Nothobranchius furzeri: one gene and its partner. The protein of the gene in region 1 purifies or fractionates together with the protein of each later gene. This does not show direct contact. Links are inferred from orthologs where the notes say so. Each region holds a gene or a part of one and is shown in the gene's direction. Other genes may lie near its edges. The genes, in order: lats1 and sav1.

Region 1 (4,476 bases):
ACATGCAGCAGGTGGTGCTCAGGAGGCCTAGCTGGAAGGGCTCTAAGGAGGCCCTCGCTCCCCGCCTCGGTCCTCACATGGCAGATGGGATGGTGTACCGCCCCGACAGCCCCGGGCCACCTCCTGTCTACCCACCACTCCGCGGTGTCGCGGCTTCTAATTCTCCCTGGGACAACAACCCATCAACCAAGCGCTGGTCTGGGAATGTGGAGTACTTTGTTCCACGAATCTCTCCAGTTCCCCAAGGAGCTCGGCCTGATGGGTACCCAAATCCACCTCCTCAGAATCAACGCGGGGCCAACCCAGGGCCCGTAGTTCACCAGCCTATCATAATGCAAAGTTCAGGGAATAAATTCACTTCTCCTTCCACTCGGACTCAGAATGGCTCCGCTCAACAGGACTACATACCAGGGAGCAGTAGACAACCCCCTCCTCCATACCCAGTCAACCAGAGCAGCCGACACAGTCCCACCGAGCAGCCGGCATCCTCTCCTTCGTACGTCAACGGTGGAAACATCCCTCCTCCCATGCTGGTGTCTAACTGGAGCAACAGCAACCAGGACCTGTCCCCGTCATGGCAGCAGAACGTGCCAGTCCGCTCAAACTCATTTAACAACCACCAGCTCAACGGCAGACCTGCTCATCAAGCCAGCTCCCAGCCCTCTGCCACTACGGTCACGGCCATCACTCAGGCTCCCATCCTGCAGCCGGTGTCGAGCACGCAAGTCCAGAAACCAGAGCTACACACTGCCGTCGCTCCCACACATCCTCCATGGAAGCAGCACCTTTCAGCATCTCCAGCTGCGCCTGCTTACCCAGAACCTTCACCTCAGGTCCCTCAGATCCCCACAGCACTAGAGGCACCAAACTATATAGGCCCTCCTCCACCGTACCCTAAACACCTCCTACAGCAGCCGGCTGCACCCTCGCCCCCTGCGTACGACGCTGCAGCCAATAAGCTTGTTGCGGGTAGAGAGGAGAGTCCTGAGGAGGAGAGGAGCTGCAGCAGCGGCAGCAGTGGAGACGCCTCCAGGGAGAAGGTGTCAGAAAGTCTTGAAAGCACCACGGCAGCGGAGAAGGAGAGGAAACAAATCACAACATCACCTGTTCCTGTTCGCCGTAACAACAAGAAAGATGAGGAGCGCAGAGGGGAGTCTGGGAGAGTCAATCTGTATTCCCCCCAAGCCTTCAAGTTCTTTATGGAGCAACACATGGAGAACATCCTGAAGAACCATCAGCAGAGGATTCGGAGGAGGAAGCAGCTGGAGTGTGAAATGGACAGGGTGAGACCATCTATGAAAAGAAACTGTCCTTTTCTCTTTTTGACCTGGTTTCCCCGTCTTATCTTGGTAAATCTCCGATCTTTTCCACACTTTTAAGTTTTTCTTAGCTGTTCTTTCTCTTCCTTTCTCTCCTTGCTGTCACAAGCAGCTGACCTAGGAGGTTAAAGTATCTTTTCCTGTGCTGTGACTCAGAAAAGCCCAAACACACATCAGTTACACAAGTAAGGTGTCAAGTGTCTCATATCTGTATTTTCTCCTGCATCGAGTGAAAGCATGAGAAGAGTGGCATGCCATCCCGCAGCCGCCTCCGTGCACTGCACGCACATTTTTGTTTTGGGGTAAATTGATCATTAACACTTCAGGAAAGATAGATTTCACTTCGTTTTGTGGTGGTGTCACTCGTTTCCATTCATTACTAACGTCTCATTTTAACATGGATTGCATGAAAGCTGCATTTATTTATTTTTATGGTCCCCATCCTCAGGTGGGTTTGTCGTACGAAGCCCAGAAGCAGATGCGTATGATGCTCTACCAGAAGGAGTCCAACTACATCCGTCAAATGCGCGCCAAAATGGATAAGTCCATGTTCAAGCGGATCAAAACCCTCGGCATCGGAGCATTCGGCGAGGTGTGCTTGGCGAGAAAAGAGGACACGGGGTCGCTGTACGCCATGAAGACGCTTCGCAAAAAGGACGTGCTGCTGAGGAACCAGGTGGCCCACGTCAAAGCCGAGCGGGACATCCTGGCCGAGGCCGACAACGAGTGGGTGGTGCGTCTCTACTACTCCTTCCAAGACAAGGAGAACTTGTATTTTGTCATGGAGTATATCCCCGGGGGGGACATGATGAGCCTCCTCATCCGGCTCGGCATCTTTAAAGAAGAGCTGGCCCAGTTCTACATCGCAGAGCTCACTTGTGCGGTGGAGAGTGTCCACAAGATGGGCTTCATCCACAGAGACATCAAGCCGGACAACATTCTGATAGACAGAGACGGACACATAAAGCTGACCGACTTTGGTCTGTGCACAGGCTTCCGCTGGACCCACGACTCCAAGTATTACCAGAGCGGTGGGTGCTAAAGCTCAGTGTCTTGTTAGGTGTTTTTCTGTCGCTACGTCAAGCTTTTAGAATGAAAACTGTAAAACAATGGTAATGTTAACATTTATCCTGTCAAATTCACATACAAACAGATGAAAAAAGATTTTACAATAGAAAATCTTCCTTTTTGTTTTCAGATATCTTGCCGTTTGTGTCTCTCAGGTCAGGTTGAGCCTAAAAAGTAGAAGCCGGGAGGCTGTTGACATGTTTTGGATTCGTGCAATTCAACATTTCTGTTTATCAATGTACAGCGCAATAATATAAATCCAAATTACATCAACAAAAGCACATTTTAAATCAGTATTGCATCATTTAGCAACAAGGAATTATCAAATAAAGATGTCTAAGTCTTAAATTATGTGTCTGTTTATCTCTGCAGGAGATCATGAGAGACAGGACAGCATGGACTTCAGTAAGGAGTGGGAGGATCAAGCTAACTGCCGCTGTTCAGAGCGTCTGAAGCCTCTGGAGAGGAGGAAGGCCCGGCAGCACCAGCGCTGTTTGGCCCACTCACTGGTGGGAACGCCCAACTACATCGCACCAGAAGTTCTGCTCCGAACAGGTAAAGTTTTCCTTTAAAAATGTTCAGTTATGTTATTTTTGCTTCAAATCTTTGCTCTAATAATCCACATCATGGTAAATAACAGCTTTATTCTGTTTTTCAAAATAAAAGCTGAGAAACTAAATATTGACATCTTGATGAAAAAGAAAATCAATTCCAAACGTCTTTTAGTGATGTCATTTCCTGTATAACTGTAGGATACACTCAGCTCTGTGATTGGTGGAGCGTTGGGGTCATCCTGTACGAGATGGTTGTTGGACAACCTCCCTTCTTGGCGAGCACACCCCTGGAGACGCAGCTGAAGGTATGAGAGGCACCTGCTGTGAAATGTTCTGCAGCCACGGAGTTCCTTAAAGCCGCGTCTCTTTCGTTGAAACCAGGTGATAAACTGGAAGAGCACGCTGCACATCCCCCCTCAAGCCAAGCTCACCCCAGAGGCGTCGGATCTCATCGTTAAACTCTGCCGCGACCCAGAGGATCGCCTTGGTAAGAACGGCGCAGATGAAATCAAAGCTCATCCATTCTTCAAAAGAATCGACTTCTCCAGCGACCTGAGACAGCAGGTGGCACCCTACGTCCCCACCATCGCTCATTCCACAGACACCTCCAACTTTGACCCAGTGGACCCTGAAAAGCTGCGGAGCAGCAATGGCGAGGGCAACCACAACGACACGCTGAGCTGTTGGTTCCGCAAAGGAAAGCACCCCGAGCACGCCTTCTACGAGTTTACCTTCCGGCGCTTCTTTGACGACAACGGCCACCCTTACAGCTGCCCCAAACCCATCGAGTACGAGGGCTATGACGAGGACGAGGCGGACATGGAGAGCGCGGAGCTCGAGGCCGGGAAACAAGGCCGGGATCTGGTCTACGTGTAGATCCTGAAACCCACTAAGCTGCTTGTACATAGAAAGTGTGTGTGTGTGTGTGTGTGTGTGTGTGTGTGTGTGTGTGTGTGTGTGTGTGTGTGTGTGTGTGTGTGTGTGTGTGTGTGTGTGTGTGTGTGTGTGCGTGCGTGAGAGTGAGAGTGAGAGAGAGAGGAGGGGTTTGCAATGATAAAGCATTTAAAACATAGGAGTGTGTGGTTATAGGAGCACTCAGAACGCTGCAGCACGAGATCACAGTTAAAAATGAAACACCTGATCTCCAACTATGAAACTGACCTGGAGTCAGTTATCTCTGCAGAGCATGAAGACTGAAATCTGCTGACTTGTGAAAGATGATTATAAGAAATGACGAGAGAAACCTGAAACGCACCAAATCTGGTTTTTTTTTTGGGGGGGGGGGGGGGGGTTAACATGTATAAGGAAATATCAAAGTGTCACATTTGAGAAGGTGGAACCACAGATTATGGATTTTCAGACTCTAATCAGGAAAACCGCTAGTAAATAAACATCTAATATTCCTGATTTCTCACTGGAAACCATGATTTTTCTCCATCTACCTGCTAGACAGATCTACTGAAAGGGATGATATGGCCGATTATAAACATGTTTCTGTGTAAAAGCTTCATGAACAGCCTCTGTTCAGACATAAG
Region 2 (3,833 bases), on another chromosome or scaffold:
ACCGCCCCCTGCCGCATAAACCTAGCTCGGGCTAGCTGTTAGCTCATTGGTTTTAATGACAAACATTTTATTTTCTCAAGCAGAAGCTGTTCATTAAAAGTTTGGTTCACTGAAAACCCATTCTTTAATGATCATTGCTGATTATAATGGGTCACTCTGAGTTTTTCATGCAGGCTTAACATAAGATAGTCTCCTACACCTATCTGTGCATTAGCTTCTGATAAAAAATAGATAGTGAAACTCTAGGATTTGAAAAGCTTGACAAATTTCTTGGCTCGCAGAAGCTAACCGCTAGCATTTGCATTGTTACAAAGCAAACCGAGTCAGCGGTAGAGTCTCGTTGCCGTTTGCCAATCAGGCGCACCAGAGCTTTTTTCCCCCCAGAGTAAAACTTCCAATGCATTCATTCCTACTAGAGACAGCTGCAGATGTACTGATTAAATGAGCGAACCACACCTATAAACTATCCAAATTTGCCAAAACATGTAAAATCATTTTTATTTATTTTTTGTTTTACGCAGTCGTGTCATGAGGAGTCTGTCCTGTGGGACATTTTTGTTTTAATAGATGTTTGTGCTATCAGAAATCTCTGCGTTTATCAGAGTAATAATAGTACATCATCGTCATCATGTGTTAGTGTGACCATCATCCTGTAAATGGGCGATGTCGTCATGGTTGCAGCCTGTCTGGATCAGGCATGCCCATGCAGGAATCTGAAAGGTGTGTGATTAGGAAGTGTGTCATGTTCAGTCTCTGAGCTTTGTGCTGTGTCACACGGGTAAAATGTGCTGCGGTTACTGTAGAGCAACACCAAATCACATGATAACATACTTGTCTGGAGGACTGGCTGGCTCATTTAATACCAGGTGTTACTTCCAGCTGGACTTTTAGATCTGCAGTGAGACGTGGATGATGATGGTGATGAAGTGAACGAGGAGGAGTGTGGAGCAAACACATTCCACCCTTCATTCAGCAGCTGGGAAACAGCTCCAGCTCTGCCTCTGTCACTCTCAGACAGAATTGATCAGATTCCAGCTGCCATTTTCCGAGATACTTGATTCCTTTAAATTCCTGCGCATTTTCAATCCTCCCTGAATCCCTGCAGGCTTGTTTTGTTTCAAGCCTCAATACTCTTTGCTCGTCCACACAGCTGTCGGCTCAACATTCCTGTCTGACGTTATTCATCAGTAAAAGTACGGGGCGCATTGAATGCGCATGCTTTGCTGTCGGCTGCTCTAAAGAGTTGGAAGCGCCTGGAAATGGAGAGCTCTCTGGCTTCCTGTTCAAACGTTCCAGCACTCCCATTTCCTTCCATTCATCGGACTTGTCAGTCAGAGAGACGCTCCATCTCAACAGTCGGAGTGATTAGGCGAGCCTGTCCAGATTCACAGCATGACATCAGTCGTCTTTTAAGGACTGCTTCTCTGCATCCCTGTCTTATCCGGTCCTATGTCCATATTCCTCTCCTTTCCCACACATGCTGGTTTCCAAGAATGTCTCAAAATATTCCTGTTTTCCTCAGAGGTGCTGTTAGTCCACAGCTGCTCCTCCGTATGTTTGGTCAGATATTCTCCCTCTGGGTTCCTTAAAAGAAGTGTTTGTTTTCCCCAGGCATAGGTCGGATTCAGGCCAAGTCTCTGGGGAATCTCTCCATTTTAACGGGAGAGGATGTCCCCCTTCCGGCCGGCTGGACTGTAGACTGGACCATTCGTGGCAGGAAGTACTACATCGACCACAACACCAACACCACACACTGGAGCCACCCTCTGGAGAGGGAAGGGCTCCCTCTAGGCTGGGAGAAGGTGGAATCTGCTGAGTTTGGGGTTTACTATGTGGATCATATCAACAAAAGGGCTCAGTATCGGCATCCGTGTGCCCCCAGGTACAGAACCAAAGTGAAAGTTTGGCTTAATTATGAACATCTTTGGAGAAACAAAGATCTACAAATACAACATCTTTGTATTTTAGCGTGCCTCGCTATGATCAGCCCCCACCACCTCCACTTCCTGTGACCTATCAGCCACGCCCAGCAGAGAGAATCCAGCCGGTGCTCGTGCCCGCTAACCCGTACCACACGGCCGAAATCCCCGACTGGCTGCAAGTTTACGCACGCGCGCCACTCAAGTGAGTACCGTGTGTCCCACACCTCAAGGGTCATCTTCGCTGCTGCCTGCTGCAGCAACCCCTGATTACCAGGTTAGGGGTGTTTTGTGTTGTGATGTACATCAGTTCCTGTTTTTTGTTGTCCAGGTACGACCACATCTTGAAGTGGGAGCTGTTCCAGCTGGCAGACTTGGACACGTACCAAGGGATGCTGAAGCTGCTCTTCATGAAGGAGCTCGAGCACATCGTCAAGTCCTACGAGGTCTACCGACAGGCGCTGCTGTCTGAGGTGGAGGCTCGCACACAGCGAAAGCAGTGGTACCTCCAGCAGCCTAACAAGAACTTCCAAGGGAACATGTGAAGCTACATCTTTAGCAGGTCGTCCCCCTGCCACACCTCACTGAGGTTTCCACAGTTTGGGAGCGGTTAGAGCTTCTTTTAAAATCAAAACTGACTCCTAATTGCTTCCTTACCAAACACATCTGTGCCTTTGCTTGATCCAAATATATCAGCCAAGAAGTCAGAACGACTCATTGACTAAAGGGAGGGCTGTCCCCCGGTGCCACGCTCACGTTATGGACAACCGAGACAGCACTAGGATGAAGACACAACGTGCTACGTCTGTGGACGCTGCTTGGGTGGGATCTAAACCCACCAAACTGACAAATGAACTTTTCATTTCCTGTTATTAAGACTGAGAAGCACCAAGTCTGGAAATCCTGCTCAGGATATTTGTTGAAAAACATCCCGAGATTGTGCCTTAAATTAATCGTACAAAGTCTGCTCGTGTCGCGCGTACACCACCAGCTACTCCGTCTTTTTCTCCTTCGGGACGAATCGACAGGCAGCTTCTTATTTAAATACAATATTTTTGCTTTGTAACCCTCATAAACTGAAACCATACTCTTTTACATAAAAATAAACATTTGCATTGTTCTCTTGTGATATTCCTTATCGTTATTTAACAATCCTCCAGTCTAAATGATACTTAAAGTTAGATGAGCATCACACTTACTGCAGCACATCTATGCTTCAGAATATTTAGTGCATTTCATTTTCTATGGGTCTTTCTTAGTTTACATGTTCATAAACACATTTAGTGATCAGCCCGCTTCAGCTCAGAAAACCAAATCAGGCTAAAGTAAAGCAGTTTACTGGGATCTGTGCAGCTTTAAACATCTTCAGAGGACGTTTGGTTGCTGAACGAGTTTGTGTTGAACCAGTAAATCCTCTTGAGTTTTGAGCTTTCTGTGCAAAAAAGTTTCAACTTTTCAGAATCAAATCATTTCGGTTGCGAAACGAAAGTTGTTAAGGAAAAAGCTGTAAATTATATTTAAACCTGCACACGTCTTTTTTTTTTCTTTTTTGTCACTTAAATGTTTCAGATCAGTAAACAAAAAGCGTTGTCAGACAAAAACCTGGATAATTAAGAAATAACTTTAGTAGATGCTGTCGTGACAACATGAAGGCTAACGGATCTCAAAACGTAACCCAAGAAATTGAAGTTAACCAAGAACAACATCTAAAGCCCTGCGGGCCTCCCTTGGGATAATAGGAAGGAGCTAGTCTAGAAGATTCTCTCTAAAGAGCCAGGCCTTCAGTAGTTCCTGACAGACATGAATGTCCAGTCCTGGTACCGCTTAGGTCATTCCACCACCAGGAACAACTCAGGAAAATAGTCTGGATGGTCTTGATTGTGGTGTAGGCTCTGCTTTCCCACAGTCCTTAAA

Evidence for each region.
Region 2: the proteins of lats1 (region 1) and sav1 purify together in Homo sapiens (affinity purification with western blotting; 3 studies listed by BioGRID). This does not show direct contact. The link is inferred for Nothobranchius furzeri from reciprocal best matches to the Homo sapiens genes LATS1 and SAV1.

What each region holds. Positions count from the first base shown.
Region 1 is NC_091742.1:11,406,764-11,411,239, reverse strand, and holds the end of lats1 (serine/threonine-protein kinase LATS1), read left to right. Parts: coding exon 1-1,283; intron 1,284-1,767; coding exon 1,768-2,350; intron 2,351-2,759; coding exon 2,760-2,942; intron 2,943-3,139; coding exon 3,140-3,246; intron 3,247-3,322; coding exon 3,323-3,817; 3' UTR 3,818-3,967; downstream 3,968-4,476. UniProt on the Homo sapiens protein: Negative regulator of YAP1 in the Hippo signaling pathway that plays a pivotal role in organ size control and tumor suppression by restricting proliferation and promoting apoptosis.
Region 2 is NC_091758.1:19,774,434-19,778,266, reverse strand, and holds the end of sav1 (protein salvador homolog 1), read left to right. Parts: intron 1-1,611; coding exon 1,612-1,882; intron 1,883-1,968; coding exon 1,969-2,124; intron 2,125-2,250; coding exon 2,251-2,464; 3' UTR 2,465-3,039; downstream 3,040-3,833. UniProt on the Homo sapiens protein: Regulator of STK3/MST2 and STK4/MST1 in the Hippo signaling pathway which plays a pivotal role in organ size control and tumor suppression by restricting proliferation and promoting apoptosis.